Linked DNA regions of Drosophila melanogaster. The protein of the gene in region 1 interacts with the protein of each later gene in a pairwise test. Each region holds a gene or a part of one and is shown on either strand. Other genes may lie near its edges.

What was found. The genes of interacting proteins can lie anywhere in the genome.
Region 2: the proteins of Or45a (region 1) and CG4576 interact in a two-hybrid assay, tested with the Drosophila melanogaster proteins (one large-scale study listed by BioGRID).

What each region holds. Positions count from the first base shown.
Region 1 is NT_033778.4:9,342,381-9,351,657, reverse strand, and holds Or45a (odorant receptor 45a), read right to left. Parts: upstream 6,310-9,277; 5' UTR 6,237-6,309; coding exon 5,154-6,236; intron 5,100-5,153; coding exon 5,046-5,099; 3' UTR 2,795-5,045; downstream 1-2,794. UniProt on the Drosophila melanogaster protein: Odorant receptor which mediates acceptance or avoidance behavior, depending on its substrates. The odorant receptor repertoire encodes a large collection of odor stimuli that vary widely in identity, intensity, and duration.
Region 2 is NT_033777.3:15,822,028-15,832,090, reverse strand, and holds CG4576 (uncharacterized protein), read right to left. Parts: upstream 6,345-10,063; 5' UTR 5,995-6,344; coding exon 5,913-5,994; intron 4,991-5,912; coding exon 4,695-4,990; intron 3,864-4,694; coding exon 3,698-3,863; intron 3,570-3,697; coding exon 2,866-3,569; intron 2,802-2,865; coding exon 2,608-2,801; intron 2,544-2,607; coding exon 2,203-2,543; intron 2,141-2,202; coding exon 1,998-2,140; intron 1,927-1,997; coding exon 1,822-1,926; 3' UTR 1,770-1,821; downstream 1-1,769. Other genes in the region: rec (recombination-defective), read left to right, coding at 1-1,737, 7,221-7,614; alpha-Man-IIb (alpha-Mannosidase class II b), read right to left, coding at 9,154-9,925, 9,985-10,063.

The sequences.
Region 1 (9,277 bases):
CGGTCAGTTGAACATTTTCCATGCTGTGATCAAGTTGTCTTTTCCTTTGAGCGCCGAGCGCTGTGCACGCCTGGGACTTGGAACGTTTCGAAATCGGGCTGAAGAACATTTAGAAAGTATTCGAGAAAATATTCGAAAGTTCAATCGTTAAATATATATATATTTAGAATCCCCCGACTTAAGCCACCAGTTTAGTGTGTGTACTCTCGAGCAGCAAGTGCGTGAAACGGTGGCGGCCAAGTGCAAATGGTTAGCGGATTGTCGTGGCGAAATAGGCGTGGCAGCTTGGTGGGTGCGGCTGTCCTCAGCAAGTGCAACATGCACTTGTTGTTCCCCCCAGTTGTTGCAACATGAGCAACATTCACGGCTGGCTGCCACTTTCGCACGATAATTGGTTTTCGATTGCTTGCCCTCGGCTGGCTGCCAAAATAGTCGATGGTCCAGTATCGAGTTTCGAACTTAAGTGCTCATGGTTTTATTGCAGCAAACAAACAAAATATACAAGACACAAAAATGTTGAAACGACGGACTGACTTACATGCATTTTATTAGTAAATAAAAAAATACAACCGAATAAAACAAATATAAATAAAAAAAACAAATATCATTACAACCGAAAACACCAACGGGAAAAAACAGCCGCAAACATTTTTGTAAAACAAATGATTAAAAAGGTTTCGCCAGCAAAGAAAAAACAAGCAAAAACCAACAAGCGCGTGGAAATCGAATGCTGAAAATCGCCCATAAAACGCATAAATAAATAAACTATGCTCAAACGAAATTAATTAAAAAAGAATGGAAAATCAAATCAGGCAAGATAATTAAAACAGTAAGCGCACACGGCAAATAAAGCAACGGCAATATCCTGCCGCAAAAATTGAAAATATCCTGTAAGACGGCTGGGAAAAAGGACGAGCCCTACGAACGAAGAAAGGAAAATGAGGTCGACGAAGGCGAACCCAAAGGCCGGAGTGGATCCCAAAATTGTAATGTACACAAGAAAAACAAAACCGATTTTGCCAAAATAATTGAATTCGCATTATAAAGTACACATTTTCAAATCCACACCCAATAAGCAATACACACAATATATGTACACAAAAGAAATCACCAGCTCATGCGACATTGCAACAAGAAAATGGCAGACTCATTGCCGAGCGGATTCTCAGTGCCGAAGAAAAGTCATTTTTCAAACATTTCCCCCGCCCATTGCTCTGCGATTTTCTTGTCGCGCGTCGCCTCTAAACAATTTCACATTCACAGTCCCACTTCGGCACAAACAATGGCATTTGCAATTTCCATATCATCCAGCTTCGCCCCTTAACTACCCGTCTAAATGTTGTATAATCACAATACCATTTTTATCTGTGCATCTCAGCATCGAGTTGCCATCGAGTTGATTTACCCAAATGAGTCGAGTCAAGACCCCCTTTAGAAAAATTTGCTCGTTATAAAGTGCTTAAAAAATGTTGTAGGGGCTAAAGACCCATTTTAAGCCTATTGATTTAGTCTCATTTGATTACGTATCGAGATGGTTTTTCGCATTGGTAATATTTAAGTGCTGTGATTTAGACAGCAAGGGCTCATGTCTAATGAATTATAATTTAATTATGCATAAGGTAATTGCAATTTGGGCGGGCTCTGTGGCATCATTAATTATTGTATTTGGTTGCGAATGACGGATAATGATAGCCGCCATGCTGATTATTTAATGACATTCCAGGAAGAAGGCGAAAAACATTTTCGGTTTTTAATTACCATTCGCGCTCTGCTCCTACTGAAATTTCAATTTTGATATGCTTTTAAGTGCAGAACGTTCTTTCGAAAGAGTGCAAATATGTTGATTGATTTCTGCCCAGAATGTTCTGGTTCCAAACATGTGAAAAATTTGTGTTTAACCAATCGTTTTCCTGTGTGCTTGCAAATATTTATGTGTTTGTTAAATTTTTAAATTATTTTTTTTTTTTTTTCTTGCAACTTTGGGCGTCTATTTATTTGTTTAGCTTAAAAGTATGAATTACATTTAAAAAGGAAAACATATAGTCGTGTGAATCAATGTCCAGAACAAAAAAAAACCGAATAATGGTTCTGAATGATTCATTCGACGTATAATTTTAACAACTAATTAGCCTAATATGTTTCTATATGACATATATGGAATCATTTTAGAATTCACTATTTCTGGTCGAGTTCAGTATTAATATTTTATCTCGCAAAAAAATTATGACCATTATTCGCTTGAACCCGCTTGCACTTAGTGAAAGTTTGTTATACATTTATGTTTTATTTTAATTTTGCTGCTGAAAATCCCATCGAAATTCCGACAAATAAAGTCGAATCCTCTGCCCGCACATAAGTGCGCCATATAATTTGCATAAGTGCTTGTCATGCATGTGGCATCCACATTCCCATCCACATCCTCGCAAGGGAGCCGCTGCAAGCCAAATGTTCAAATGGGTCACACAAAGTCCCATAAAAGTGGGTTAGGAACGGGTGGCGTAAATCAAAGTTTCCAAACTGAGCTGAGGAGACGAAAATAGCGACTGGGAGAAGCGATTTCGGAAGTGGGGAGACTCGTCTCGTCTCGAGGGGAAAACAAGTCGATTTGGACAATGTCCAAATCTGTGGCAATTATGTGGGTAAAAACAGTCAATAAAACATTGTAATCACCGCTACTGTTTGCCCCATGGCTCAGCTCGATTGTCGCATTTGTGGCATTTGAAATTAAATTTAACCAAATAAACAAGAAATTAGGGGGCGTGCTGTAATTAGTCAAATCTCCGTTTAGTCCTGGAGTTGGAGTGCCTGCCTGCCAACGTTTGGCTTATGGCGCAATTCGTTGTTAGTTCCAGTCACGTTTCATTGTTTACTCGCTGTATGTGTGCCGCCAGCCCGTATTAATTAATGCATAGGAATGTGTATTTAAGCATATTTTAAATATTAATTAATGTAATTTCTATTAAAACTGGCTATCTCCGCGCCCGCCCTTCGCCGGCCCCTCGCCGTTGGAAAAACCTTTCAACAAGCCGCACAATTTTAATTAGAAAAGTTTCATCAAGGCCCTGCACAGCCGCCTTGTATGCTTAACCGAAAAATATATGTTATACATTTATATTGTACATATATACAGATGAAAATATAGCTTTGGCAAACACAAGCCCGATTAAAGTGGGACATTTTTTGTGCTTCCTATTTTCCGGTGGCCAAAGAGGTGGAATTACCGTGAAAACGGCTGGGTTTTTCCATTTAATTTGAATTAGCATTTGTGTTCGAAAATTTGAATTTCCACTTCGGGTGAATTGAATAAGTGTTTGGCCACTTTTCCGCATTGCGAACTTGATTTAAGCTTGGCATTTCAATTTTCGCATTAAAATACTGATAGTTTTTGTTTTCTTCATTTCAGGCAATTCATTTTGAAATTGAAAAATCAATTTTGTTGTAAAACTTTAGGTTAGATTTTTTGTTGGTTAAATGCAAACCATAAGCCCTGGGGTAATGCTTGCGGGAAACTACCAGCTGGCCACCATTTTGTTTTACAAAGATAAAACTGCATTAGGACATTTAAGTTTGAATTGCCATTGAAATTTGCAGTTTGCATATCAATTTACTTTGCATAAACGTTTGCTCACTGCGCGACAGCTTTAAGGACCTTTTTGTTCGATTATTAACCATTCGCCTCGTGGCACTGCCCACACAATACACCGCAACAACTGCAAAAAAACAAAAAAAGCAATGCAGCGAAAGTGCTGCCAGCACTTTTATCTCTACCCCACCGCCCACACACGCCTGCCACGCCCACTTTTCCTACTGCCACTGATGCTGATGGAATTATTGTGTGCTCAACGAACCGCAAACAAAATCTGTGCTCGCTCCTGTTCGTTTTTGTTCACATTTTTAATACACATAAAATGGTGATTTTTTTCACCACTATTTTCAGCTTGTGGCTCTTGGCCATCCGCTCTTATCTTGGCCACAATTTGCTGTAAAGTTATACCGCCCAGCAAACCCAGCTAGCTGTGGCAGGTTGATGCTCGAATTTTGTTGGCTGTTTGTGCCGCAGGTGCGTAATGGCCAGGAGCGATTCGCGCTTATTAATCGCTGCTCATTTGTTTTTTCGAAGTCAAGCCAAAGATGCTGACCAACGCAGACCAATAAATCAAATGTCAGAGACAAAAATTAATTATGCCCGCAATAGCGCTGTCGTAATTTGTAACATAATCCGAGGTGCCTGGCTTCCACGCCCGCACAATTTGTCACAGCTTTTTGGTAAAACGGTGGTGCACGGAGTCCGAAATACTGAGTCCATTTTGCATGTGCAAAATACCGAGTTGTAAAATTTAATAAAACAAATTCCGTTCAAGCGACTTAGCCTCCGACTGAATTCGAATCTCGGCAACATCAAGCCAGAAATTCCGTAGCAGGCAACATTCCGCAAGGCACGAAGGATAAGGGCAGGGTTCTTAGGTCCGCATTCCACCTGATCCTGATCCCGAAGCCCCGAAACTAGCTCAAGACCCGGGCTGAGTCGAAAAAGGAGCCCGAGGCCATTGGCTGGCAAGCAGCATGGTGCACATAGTTTGAGTAGCTATTTTTCAGCAACTTGTTCCCCACCTGAACGATGCTGCTGATGTTGCATACTTTCGTACTTTCATACTAACAAATTCCGACTACCTGGTGTATACATCTATATACATACAATACATACGAGTACCCATATGCACACACGACTGACATCATGGCCACACGCATGAGCTGGCTTCGCTAGCTGCCTTTGTGGAATGCCCTCATGAATTTCATATGCTCCTCCATCTGCCTGCAGTGGCATCAACCTGGGGCATGAGATCCCTTCGGGGCAGCTGAGCCCGTCAAAAACATGCTCGTCCAAATGGCAACTGATTGGAGTTGGGTTGTGGATGTTTGGATCGCTTGCCCATGAATATTTCCAAATAAATGTACTCGACTATTAAAGATTATTGATTGATTAAGAAATTATAATCATTTTTGTTCATTAAGAGGTAACTATTCTCAAGCTTCGATTTGATGGGCTAACGCTCGAAAGTCCTAAGCATGGCCAGAAATGAGCCCGCAGTTCTGATGACCTGCAAGATATAATATCTTAAGTATGCCTTAATAATCCATTACTAAAAACCCACCCAAAGCAGCAGTGGCAAGTCCACAACGAACATGAATCCAAAAATCTTAGCCGGTCGCTGCGCCCTCATGATCACCATTTGCCAGAGTCTTCTTTTCTTTGGCGTCATTTCTGGCCAATTGATTTGACCATAAACGGCTTGTGCGATGGCCAAACTTTGCTGCTTTATATACTCGCCTCCATAGCAATACGAACTCAGTTGGATGATGATGGCCACTAGGAAGGTGGCTCTAAATGGCACCTGGGCACTCCAGCCACTGCGGCTGAAGCGAAAGGCCAACATGCAGAGTTGCAGGTAACTGAGCATGTATTTCACAAAGACGATCTCCCCGAAAATCGAACTTAGTTCCTTGGCCAAATCCAGAGCTATACGATGACGACTAACAAACCCGGTCAGGCGAGAGTCTCCGCCATTCAGATCCTTCTCTTCGAGAACAAGCTCCAGTAGTTGGAACTGAATCACCACATTGTGAGTCAGCCAGGAGAACAGGGTGTCCGTTGCAATGGCCAACCAGGCGGCAGCTGCCACGCCCAGTACGCCCCAAACGTAGATGGGCCAATAAAAGTGAGGCTTTCGCTCGTCCAGCCAGAAGTTGAACTCCATGGGTGTGGTCGGGGTAAATACACCCGTCTCCACATATCCCCACAGGCCAAGCAACATGGGCGCTATGGCCGAGGCACAAATCACTCCGTAGGCGGCATTTCTAAAGGACCTGGCGACATACCTATCCAGTTGGTTTTCCCTCTCGATCTTCTCCAGGTGATTGGGCGTGGCACTGGCCGCCTGGTTTAGCTTATGCAAACGGTGAATCAACGATCCAATGCGCCTTCGTTTCGCCATCATGACCAGGAACTTGAAGGTGCTCTGTGATCCTTGCATAAACACCGCAAAGTTGTCCGTCAGACGGGTCAAGTCGGAGAGATCCTGCAGGGCATAGACTACCATGGGCCAGTTGTGAGAGATCAAGGACAGGATGAGAATCCCGGCCCAGATGGGATGTTTCAGACTCAGTTGCGGAGTACTGGGATCGAATCCAACTATTTCCAGAGCTCTTCTCTGGACGGCAAAGTAGCTGGCGTCCATGTTGGTCTTTCAACCGGATTTCGTTGTTGCACCAACTTTTATAGCAGCCACTGGGGGCAAAAAAAAAAAGAAAAAAAAGAAAGCTAAGTGGATGCCGTTGCCGCCCCTGAAATTGTGCCTGAAATATTTATTTCATCCGTTAACAGGCTACGTGACACGGTTACCACTACCACACTGGCTGTGCTGTTTTGATTGGAAATTTTCCCATTTCCATTTAGGGGGGCGTAAATATCGTATTAACAAATAAATACCCAACACAAGTGGAAGTGGTGCGACACGTTGTTTACCTATTTGTTTACATTCTATTTGGTTATCTATCTATTTATTTTCACTTTAACATTTAAATGCCTGACTGGACAATGGCATGTTCTTATACAAGACCGCAAGGGTTATGATTATGAACAAGTTGTGATAGATATAATTTTTTCTGTAGCCTTGACATTTGGGCTAGAGCAAAGCATTTTTCCTTTTAAATTCCTTTTAAATTTGTGTATTTTGTACCAAAAAGTTAGCGTAAAAATTCCCTGTAAATACACCAAAATGAAATTAATTTTTGGGCTGGCCCCAAAAATCCTTTTTTTTCCCAATTTGTTTGCCCTCTGGGAGGAAAATGTCGGGACCCATTTGGTCCGCACTTTATTCGCGAGTAATTCAATTACGTGGGAAATCAACAAGTAAATCTGCTTTCGAAATTTATCGCCGGGACTAGACGAAATCGAGTGAAATAGCCATTTGCCAGGCCACATTATCTCCAAGCGTTTTTTCCCCCCGATTTGCATTTTGGGTTCTTTGCCTTTGGGTTCGGCTTAATGTCACCTTAACTGCTCTCAATTAATCTAGAGTGGGTGTGCCAAATAAAGACCTTTTCCTGGAATTTTAATAACCATCATTTGCATTTTTCCGAAGGATATTCGTAGCTGACTTGTTCAAAGTTGCGGCTACAAAAGTTATGCAACGTTATTTAGAGCGAGCTATGTACATATGTTGGCCTCCGGCCAATTGTGAATACAAAGAGTTATGTTTGAAAAACATGTTCAGTAATTAATTAAATTTACACTTGCAGATTTTTATTTAAATTTCATAGAGTCTGAGTAGTCATTGCAGTCGCACGTTTTCACATATTCGCCCGTTTGCATATCAAATTGATATTTTATGCAAAATATTTACCGAAAAGCCACAAAAGCAATAATGCCAGTGGCTGTGTGCGAAAGAGAGGGTCAGTATGTGCGAAAGAGAGAGGCACAATGAGAGTGAGAAAGAGAAAAAAAAGAAAAATGGGGAAAACGGAGAAGAGCACACCTGCTGCTCGATAATTTTGACGTCGGTCCGGCTTTTGGACTCCTCAGCAATTTGCTTACCATCTGTCTCTTTCTCCTGAAACATCTCTCCCTCTCTTTCGCACACCATGTGCCCATCTCTCTCGCTCCACTGAGGTTTTCGTGTCTTTTGCGGCTTTGTTTATTTCATTGCCTTCATGTAAGTGAAGGTGTGGCTGTGTGTGTGCATGTGCGACTCCTTTGTGTGTCACCCATTTTGGAGGTTTTTTATGAGCTTGTGGCGAACCGTAAAAAAAAACCGTCTTCCAAATGGAGTGGCATGCCAGGCTTAACCAGCTTGCCGAACTCTTGCTTGCCAGACCCCACTTGCCCCCCAACTCGTCTTCTTTTGTTCAGTTTAAGGAACTAGCAAAATGTTTCACATCATGTTGATCATTTGTTGCCCTATCAGCGGGAGTTTAGGGGTACAGATAGAGTGTACGGAGCTGGGAGATACCAAAGAGATTACCAAAGATACCATAGGGAAAACATTTTATTTAATACGAGTCTTTGATCCCTTTGCTGTTAATCATATGATGTTTTATTTGAACACAAGCCACCACAGAAAAGTTAACAAGTTTGTGACTTAATAAACTTTGAGAAAAGTGAACAATTTGGTATTTTATTTAAATTTATGGCTTGTATTATTAGAATTTGCATGTTTAAATCCTAAATCCTAATCCAATTCAAGGGTATCTGTGCCTCGAGTGTACTTAATGGCCATTCCTTCGACTAGGTTGCATCCTGAGTACTAGCAATTTTTCAGCCACATTACACAGCTTTCTCTTGTCCGGCTGAAAATAGAGAATGTAACTAAGATAGAAAGGGAGCGCTGGATGCAGTTAGAGAGGGACAGGTTGAGAGGTACATCGAGTGTGTGTTCCACATGAGCAGCGAAGGAATTGAATAAAGTTAGCATGCCGCCGCAGGGAATGAGCCACTCCCAACCTGCGTGGAAGTATGCTGTGTGGTGGGGCAAAAGCATCATTCAATAAAAAATTAATAGAAAAACATTCAATGAACGTGGCACAATGGCGCCAAAGGGCCACCGGCAGATATCCCGTTCCCAATCGCTACGTCCTCGTGCCCGTGCTCGACTGCAACGCTGATGAACAAGCCATCCTGTGTTCGGAAATCACAGGTAATGTGGTTTTACGAGCGCCGTGAGACAGGTGAATCCTGCCCAAAACCCCTGCCCCCATTCCGCTGATAAATGCAGCCCAGCCCCGACTTGCTCGTGAGCCTGACAGCGTACAGGGCATACAAAGCATGCTAATAAAAACATATACTACGTCATCTACATGCTCATGAAGGGAAGAGGGGGGGGGGGTGGGGGGAGCAGGTTGGCTTCGTTGCGGGTGTGGATTTTGTAAGCCGATGTGCAACACTTTTTTGTATAGCCCGGCAGGCAGCCAACCGTTGATTATACTAAACTTGTTTACTTATGCTGCTGCTAGTACATGTGTGTATATCCTTGTGTGTGTGTGTGTGCCTTTCACTGCATGTGTGTGTGTGTGTCGGAAAAGTGCAAATTTCAGCATAACCAAGCATCCTTGACGACCAAACTCGCTGTGCCTGTGTAAATTTTGGCTTAGCCACGCGGGCGTTAAGCAGCAGCAAGAGCAAAGCAAGCAGTGGTCCAGAAGGATGTTGGAAAGGGTTTGGGAATGGGCTACTACTACGAAAGGAGGGGCTGAAAGCTGCTGGAGAGAAGGGGATAATGGA
Region 2 (10,063 bases), on another chromosome or scaffold:
GCCTAGTTTGTCCGAAGACATCCGTGAGCACCCGCTTCGCACGCTAGGAACCCTGTCGTTGGCTATGCACACTGTGGTCGTCAATCACCAGCTGGACTGTAATGATTCCACCACAGCTATGGTGTCCACTCCGGAACAGTACGTCCTTCCAACCCCACGGGTACGCAAGATCTACGCACGACCGGATGATTTTGTGCCTGTGGAATCAATAGAAGGAATAAGCCATTCCCGAGTGGACACTTTGTTTTCCATCCGGGGTTTTGTGAGCAATGTGGGCGAGCCTAGCTACAGCCTCACGTGGCAAGCCTTTCGCTGCAGTCGCTGCCAGATGGAGATTGCCATGCGCCAACGGGGAACCTTCCAGCCACGTCCTTATCAATGCAAGCGGTCGGAGTGTGTGGCTCGTGACGAATTCGTGCCTCTTCGCAGTTCCCCATACACCAGGCTTTCAATCCGACAGATTATCCGCGTGGAGGAGTCCAGTTTGAACTTGGTCCACGACTTTGAGACCAGCATGCCTGCTGAAATGGACGTGGAGCTGCGACATGATCTAGTTGATGCTGTGCGTGTCGGACAGGAGGTCGTGGTAACTGGCATCCTTAAGCTGCAGGAATTGGGCGACGATACCACCACTGGAGACACCTCCAACCAGATGCAGCCCTATCTCAAGGCAGTCAGCATTCGCGATGCGAGCAGCATCAAGCGGGAGTTCAGCGAACGTGACTTGGAAGCGATTGTCATGATCAATGCGGAACCCAACAGCTTTAAGCTACTGGTGCAATCCATTGCCCCGGAGGTATACGGACATGAGCTACCCAAAGCCGCCTGTTTACTATCCCTTCTCGGCGGGAAAGGTGCGGAGACTGAAGCCATCAACGTGCTCCTGGTGGGTGATCCCGGAATTGGAAAGACCAAGATTCTGCAAAGTTGTGCTCAGATCGCTGAACGTGGTGCCCACGTGAGTGGAAAACGTGGGGCTCAATCCGCACAGCAACTGGGTGTTACGTTTGCTGGGCGTAACAAGCGTGTGCTACAAGCGGGTTCCTTGATGATGGCCAGTGGAGGCGGTCACTGCACCCTCGATGATGTGGATAAACTTGCCTCCAAGCAGGCCGTACTGTTGCAGTGCCTACAATCAGAGGAAGTAAATCTTCCACTTGCAGGAGCATTTGCCTCATTCCCGGCGCAACCTTCGGTGATAGCGTGCGCAAATCCACAAAGAGGACAATACGATGAGGGGCGCTACCTTCTACAGAATATTAATATTTCACCCTCTTTGCTGCGGGAGTTCCATTTGGTTTACATATTATTGGACAAGCCCTCGGAGAGAGATATGTCGCTGACTGCCCACGTAAGGGCTCTCCATGCGGGCGCTAGGAAACGAGCGAGAATTGCAGCCCGCTATGCTCTTAAGCCCAAAATGAGCGACTCCATGTGCGAGGTCAGCCTTAATGTGCCGGCAGCGGGAAAAGATGATGACACAATCAAAACGGAGGACGATAATGACAGCATTATGCAGCAGGATTATGATCTTGACAAACGTCTGGAGGTACTTCCGGAGGAGGGGGACTTGGACCTGCTCCCACCCATACTGATTAAGAAGTTCTTGTCCTATGCTCGCCAGGAATTAAATCCGGTCCTAAACGAGGACGCCAGCAATGCTGTTCTGCGTTACTTCCTTGAGCTCAAAGGAAGCTGCAATCTCGATGAAGACGTTTCCAGCCAGATTGGCGCAGGGTAAGTGAAATTTTTTGGTGACGGATTTAATTAAGTTATGTCTTTTATTCTAGTTATAAGTAATCTTTAAGTTAGGACATTGGGCTACCTCATAAGCTTGAGGAAGGAGGAGACGGGAAGCTCCAGAAAGATGGCCAGCAAGAAGGAGCAGAGATAGGACACGGTCACCGTAAAAAAGATGAAAGCAAACTGTAGATAAGATGAGAACAATTTGAGTTACATAAAATCCAATTCCTATTGAATGCCAGAAGTGAGCTCACCATCATGCCCGTGCCAAAATAAATGGGCTCCCGCACTGTGGCCAAGACGATTCTCGCCACAAGAAGGTGGACGATAAAGGCTCCATAAGTGAGGCGTCCCAAAATGCGGAAAATGGGCAAGCAGCAGAACTTACGGAAAATCCCTGTGAAAGAACAGTAAGATTTGCCAAGGATATACCAAGCATATCTCGCAGTTGATACTTACATCCCACTTTGCTGGCCATGCCCACGATGAAGATTCCCAGCCCGAAGCCCCAGATGTTTCGCTGCAGGCCGGCATATAATGCTCCCCAAATGGCCGACGGCGTCACGTAGTAGTGCTGGAAGATGGGATGAGCACTAAACAGCCATAGAATCCCCACTGGAATAAGTGTAAACCAAAGAAGCTGGAAGCTCTTTAACTCCCGTAGTTTGTATTGCTTCAATGCCAACTGATCGTAAACCAAAGCGGCCAGGACTCCACAGAAATAGCTACCGAAGTTCATAAAGGACGACGTGTAGAATTCGGTGAATTGACGATCTCCGATAAAGGAATCCTTCTGGGTTCTGTTTGGTAGATGGGTAGAATGATTGTAATCAAGTAGTAAAGTTTTTAAGTCCGATCACTTACTGTGGCGTGGGTACAAAAATGGGATAGTAGTTCATGGCATATGTGAGCACCATTGGCACCACCACAAAAAGACCCAAAATGCCCGCATAGAGCTGTTTGCTCCATCTGACGAACCGGTGACCCAGCATCAGCAGCACCAAGCTGAGCACAAAGGAATGAGTATCCGCTGCCAAATACCAACCTTGGAGCAGGCACTGCATCCCGAATGGAATTTTGAGTGGATTAGATGATAAATTAGATAAAGCACTCATTACTTACCCGCTCATCCGTGCGTACAAAGTTGTTGACGTAGAGCAGATTGGTCCACCAGTTGCGTCGACAAGCCAACTGCTCCCGCTCAAAGATGTGCCGCCACAGTGGACCTCCAGCGTTCTCAAAGTAAACGCCACTCATGAGCAATACAAAGGCATATGGAACCGTCAGTCGGATGTATCGGAAGATGTTAAACTTGACAAATAGCAAAGCATACTGGCCGAAGCTCCAGGTGTCCTTTTTAGATTCTAGCGAACGTGAAACGGCCAGCCAGTTAATGGTAAGCAACAAACCACTGATCACAAAAAAGGTCACAGTGATCAATGATCCCGAAACGAGTAAAGTGCCAGCTGCCGTGTGAAGCAGTCGCTCCGGATCCTGCGGATTGCTGATGGCGCTCTCGTAAATCACCCAGTTGGTGTGCGCAAATATCACCATGAACATGGCAAAGAACTTGAAGCAGTCGAGAAATCTCAGCTCGCGACCGATCTTACCACTTGGCTCCTGATTAAGTCGGTACCAATTGCGGGCCACCGAAAAGGTGAGCAGCACCTGTTGGGCAGTGCTCTTGGGCGGTGTCTTGTAGTGATCTCGCTCCTTGAGCATTTTATCATGACGGCTTCGCTTTAGATGCAGATCCACTAAGCTACCCAGACAAGCCAGAACCAGTAGAGTGCCCAAGATTCCGTAGAAGGTCAGGTTCCACGCATCTAAAGCCGAGAAGGAATATTTATTTTATCGGTCGTTAGTATTACCTCATCGCCATTAAATGCATAACACTTTTTGGATGCTAATGCAAAGAAACATTATTTACACGATGATATAATCTGTGACTCACCATCTTCCACTTGATGTCCCGCCTCATCGCAGTACTCCACCACGCTCTTGGCCAGCACCCCGAATCCACGACGCTGCAGACGCCAGTTCAGGCAGGCATTTGTCAAGCGCTGGTGCCGTTGGCGGTTATTGGCTTCCATCGAGAACAAGTCCAGATATACGTTCACCTGCCGAATATTGCATTGACCATGTTGCGATCATTAAAATACCAAAATGTCAACGTCAGGCCCTTGGCCTTGAAAGAAATGAGTTCGATTTGATTTGATGGAATTGGATCGAATTTCGCTGTCTGACCGCCCATTTCCATTTTTAGCCAACGCCTAAGCCAATATAAGCGCTTTGTTTAATCAGCCATCGTAAATGCATTTTGATGGCGACTGCATCAATGGCATCGCCACACCATTCCCCATCCCCATCTCCCATCTGCTGGCAGCACCCATTGCCCCGCTATCCGATGTTTAATCAGCGGATTTTCCGGCTGTAATTTATGCAATATTTATAGGTAATGAAGATACAGATCACGCATTTAGCCAGAGGCGTCTGCAAGGGGGATCTTTGAAATGGGATTCATTTTATGTTCGTTGTGAGAGGGACCCTTGAAATTGGCCACTTTCAAAAAACGATAAACCTGTTTAAAAACATACTCGAATATTTAAGAAGTTAAAACATGATAGCTCTTTATAGCAAGCAGATATAAACCTTTGTATATGCCAATGACAAATATGTGAACTAAAACCCCCTTTACTGCGCCACTGCCCACATAATGTGCAGCTCACGGGGAGCTCGAGTTGAATAAACTTTGGCGTTGTTATCCCGGCTTCTGTGTCCGATGATTGTTGATTGACCATTACGGCCGACGCCTCGGCAAGCGGATGGGTTTTGAAATATGTGTATTTGTATCTGTATCTGCCCAGCAGCGAATTCGAAGATTGAATTAAATCGATCGTTAGCCGCAGCTGAATCGCTACCAATGAGGTGACACCTCCGTGTGGCCTTACCTTTGCATTTTCCGATAGCAGGCCGGCTTGCAGGGCCTCCAGTTCGCTTTTATTCAACCCGGCCAGAGACGCCTCACATTCGCGCAGGCAGAGACCGAAATAGAGCTGTCGGTGATCGAAGTGATGGCGATCGTACTGCGAAATCTCTGCAATTGCCCGCCATGCCGCTACAGACTCATCGGGCTGGACTTCCGCGCGGACGAAGCAGTAAGTGGACGCCTGGCCATTCAATTCCTGGAGGCAACGATCATAGTCATCCAAGTCGTATAGAGGAGGCATCTCATAGAACTGCGTCACTGCAAAGTGGAAGGGAACGGAGCAGATCAAGAAACAATATGGTGAATCAGTCGGATAAATCGGCTCATTAAGTGGGAAACAAGTTTCTGAACTGGGCAGGTCCTTTTTTCGCTAGAACTGCAGTCCGGGTTCATTGGCTGGTCAGTCAAGTGAAAGGAAACTAGTTTCCTTTGCCCGAGCTTGAACTTGTTTTGCATTTGCTGGAAGATTCTTCCGATTCTTCTCTATTCCGATTGATGGAATCAACCAAACAAGCATATGTCAATATTGTAATCGCACTGCCTTTGGTTTTTTTTTTTTTTTTTTGCTGGTCAAGTCAAGTTCGAGTGCCTCAATCTCTTGGCAAATTCCAGACACTTTGGCTGAGTTAATTGTTTGTCAAAATACTGCTTCGTCATCAAATTTGTAGCCCGAATTCGGGCGGGGAACTTTTGGAGCCGAACACGCAAATAGGCGGATCAGGTGCATATTGGGATAATGCTAGCGTTGGCAAAGTGTTCTATAGTTATATCGATTGACAAGCATAACATGCAATCTGAACAAATGGAACTGCATAATGGTTTTCAATTTGTCGGCTTAGAACTTCCCCGTTGCCAAAGGAAGCACGAAAAACGCTTATTCAACTTGCATTAATCATGGGTTTTACGTGATTTGTGGTTTTAACTACGTTGTAATATTTATTCAATACAAGCTCTATAATTCCCCTATAACTCTAGTTACTCAAATACTAGAACTCATTTATTAGTTTATGAAATTGTTGATTTGAGAAGAGTATTACGTTCTCTACTTAGCACAAGCCTTCCTACACCATTTACATATTGCTAGTCTGATTATTTAACAACTATCAGAACTTTTAATAGGCTCATAAACAAAATTAACACGGAACATAAATCTTTCCCATTGATTGTAATACACACTTACTGTTCAATTGAAAACACTGCGCAGCCGTAAAAGTGGCTGCTAAAATCACGATGTGAAGCATCATCATCGTCATGGGATGCATCGAATCGCCGATTGTAATGCACCCTCTAATTGATTGTCTTCGACTCTTGGCACTTTCGTCACTCGAACTCCAATCGAATGCAACGCCAGCGCACCAATAACAATAAGAAGCGGAATTTCATCAACCGACGCGACTCGAGGTAAATGAAGCAAAAAAACAAAGCAGATGACCAGACCCAGGGGCTTCTGCTGTCCGGCCAATGCCGATGTTAGGAAATGCACTTTTGGCCCAAAACCCAATCGAAACCCGACCGAATGGAATTGATCCGCCAGCTAATGAACCGTTTGCGCCAACGTGCGAGCCGAGAATGAAATGCGGTCCGAACAGATGCGTGCGTCTAGGGCCTCTGGATGAGATGGGGCTTCGCTGCCTATGCCTCGGCCTCTGCCTCTGTCGATGCAGTTGCTGTAATGATGATGGGTTTCAAAACTCCCCCGAGAAATGCGTTGGTTTCCGAAAAATAAAATAAAAAGGCAAAGGGAAAAATGCGTTGGAACATGTTCGATGCTGGGCTCTTCAGTCGCCCACATCCAACTGATTTATGATTACATTTCGGGTTTCCGATCGAGTTAGTTTTCATTGGGCATCAGAGTTGCCCACTTATACCTATTTTTGTTTTGGGCGAAAACTTACGAAAAGGAGCTGGAATTTTAAATTTAAAATCAAATATTTTTATCAAATCCATTTAAAGTACGCCAGAATAAAGCTTAATTAGCAAAAGTGTTGGGCGTGATTGTACGACCAGTTGGGTGACTTAGAAATACAATTAAAAACATTCATCTGCCAAAACAAGTTTTCGGCAAATATGGAGATACATATATTATCATACTTCTGAAAAGAAATGTTTACCTACGGCGTAAATGATGAGAAAAACAAGATGCGAAATTAATTGAGGGTCAAGAAGATGAGGCCCACGTACGGCCTCGGGACCTTAAATTTGAAAACTGTGCTCAAAATGGAAACAAAATGGAATACACGTTTGAAGAACTTTTGGCAAAAGGTCAGAAATCAAAAGACTTAGGCAACAAACCTGCTTTATCAATTTTGCCCATATATATGTTTACTTACTATAAGAATACTAATCTAAAAAATACTAATTAAGGTGTTCACAGTCTGCTTGTGTTTCATTTATGAAATACCTAAAGGCAATTTTATACAGTTGTAAGATTTATTTAAGAACCTTAAATTATAAGGTAACACTTATATTGGCTTATTCTTCTTGTAAGGCAACTTCTTGCGATAATTCACCTGTCGCAGGCACGTGCTCGCCTGGATTTATCCCACGTGGTCAGTCCGCAGCACGTGCGCGATGTGATCGCCCTGCTGACCGAGAGCATCACCCAGACCAGCCTCAAGGAGGGCTCCAGCAGGCAAGGAACTCGAGGAGGAGGCGGCGCTGGAGGAGGAGCCGGAAAGAGCGCTCAACTGCGCAATTTTTTGGAGCTTACGAAGAGACGTTCGGCGGCATTGGGGCGACGCATCTTCGAATTCGATGAGCTAAAGGAAATTGGAACCCGGGCTGGCATTTTGACTGGCTTTAGCCAGCTGGTGGAAATGGCTAACCTGGGTGGCTATTTGCTCATGAAGGGCGCAAACATGTACGAAGTGGTTCCGGACTAGGCAAATGACAAACGATATAGTGCCAATATTTGGCTAACGTCTGTGGTTTTTGTTTCTGGTTAACTATAAGTTAAGTGGGTTCTAAAATGAGGCAAGCCAAGCCGTCTAGCAATTAATAATAAATGCCATGGAAAACATTTTTCTGTTTGAAACTCACACCATTACGTTCTAGTTGTGGTTATATTGATTACATTTTTATAAAGTTAAATTTAATAAGCATACTTTCGGGACCATATCAATTTCACTTGATATATTCTTGCCCAGTACTTTCGTTGAAAATATTTAAAGATAAGAAGTAAATCTTCTCGGAGAATCGCTCTTGCAATTCGTTTCAATGACAAACGCACATTCCACAATTGGTTTCATATAATACTTTATTTTCTTGTATCCATAAAATTAGATATATAGTAATAAGTTTTTATAAATAAATACACAAAACAGTTGTTTCCGTTAGAAGTAATCCATCCCATCCTTCGTCATTTTATCCCTACGTTCTGGATATTTTAGAGTTTATGTCTTGCTTGCTTTGAATGCTTTGTTTCTGAATTCAGTAGTAACTATTTGAATGACTCTCGTATACGACAATACCAGAGCTGAGAGAGGGCTTAGCTTAAATCTATAAGTGGTATATCGGATATTAGAGCTATTTTTACCGTGCCTGGAAATCCTATTCGACTATTTACAATATTGCTAGTGAATGTAATGTAATATTTGGCTTATACTTTTGCTACCCCACTACGTTGCTCGTTTAAAACTTATATCCTACATACACTTGTGTTTTGGTTAATTCTGGATAAGGGCTAGGAGTGAATAGATTAATTGAGATTAATATTACATGCCAATTTTGCAATCGTTTTAGGCTAATCAGTCTAAACAAATCGATGCGAACGCTAATCGCGCAAACGAAAACAAAAATTGATTTAATTTGCTCTCTAAATATTTCATTCTAAAATCAAGCTAGTTCTTAATCTAAGCTGTTTCATTTCCATGGTGCGATTTAGTTCAAGTTTATTGCACATATATTTTAGGGTATGAAGCTGGGAGGCTTAAGCGGAATGCATTGCTCAGGGCAGTCGAGTTGGGTATTTTGGCCTATTGCATTAAGTCGAGCTGAAGGTTTATTTGGGTGGGTCGATTTATATAAATAAAGAGTTTAAAGAATTTCTGGCTAACATGTAGTTTGTAATATTATACCTTTTTGAATAAAATATACGTTTTTTAGAAAAGTCAACAGGTAACTAGACGTAGCCTCGTTTCTTCTTACGCTTTGATCTTTTAAACAGACGAACAGAATTCGAACTAGTCATTAACTTTCATTCTACATGAATCAACAAAAAAAAAAAAACCTAACCACCCTATGTTTGTATGTTTATAACTATGTCGTGTGCTTTGTACTTTCAAAACTGTTGGAGACAGACATTAGACGTGACGAGAACTAAATAAAGCTGAAAACTTTGCACTTGGCGTTTACCACTAACTATTAGAACTAAACCACAAATAAATATGATAACTATTTCCGCTAAATACACTGCAGCCACCTTACACCTCCGAGCGGAAAGTAAGGTTAAAGGTGCGTAGCTCCATTGGTTCCAGACTGATCTCGGCCAGAGAGCGTATGTGGTAGCTCTCCCTGGACGATTTCTGCTCCGTCCCCGTCAAGCTGGTGGCTTCGATTGTATGCAGGCTGAGCCGACCTAGCTGCACATTACCCAATCCCTTGCTGGACAGGGGACATATGGCCTCCATAGACAATTCCCTGCCAGCGCTTACACTGCAATCGAATCCTTGGCGATGCAAAACTAGCAGCGCCGAGGCGGACGGAAACAGTTGCAACTCCGGATCGGATAGGGTACGCAGGGTGGTTAGGTGTACGTCACAGGGCAGCGGTCCCTTAGGCAAAAGCCTGACCAAAGGCAGCAATGCAGCGGCCAGTTCTGGCTGCTCCAGGTTGCTTACAAAGTACAGATTCGGCGGGTAACGCAAGGCATTTGCCAGCTGCTGAGCCTGCTGACTGAGAACCTTGTAACTCGGTGGCTGCGTAACATGCTGACCACCCGGGAGGTCCTCCACGAGCAGCCAGAACTTGTGCCGCGTCAAACGGCTGTCCACGACGCCTTCGCCCATTCCCCGATAATCGTCGTACAGGGTGCGCCGATCCAGCATAACCTCCAGCTGTCCAGGCTCATAACTGGCTGCTCCTTGGGCATGAGTGGTCAACAGGGTGAGGCGAAGGCGACTGTCCTGAATAAAAGCTCCCGAGGTGATCGGGAAGTAGTTGCCCTCGATGCCAATAGCCGGCACTTTGATACGTCTAAAAGTGTGAAGCACAAAGTTAGAAAGTGTTTTATGGTCCTGCGTTTCTTGACTTACTCATGATACTGGAAACCGTTTTGATCGCTGTAGAAGACGGGAAGCTCCGGCATGGTAGCCGCATCGACCGGCTCCTTAA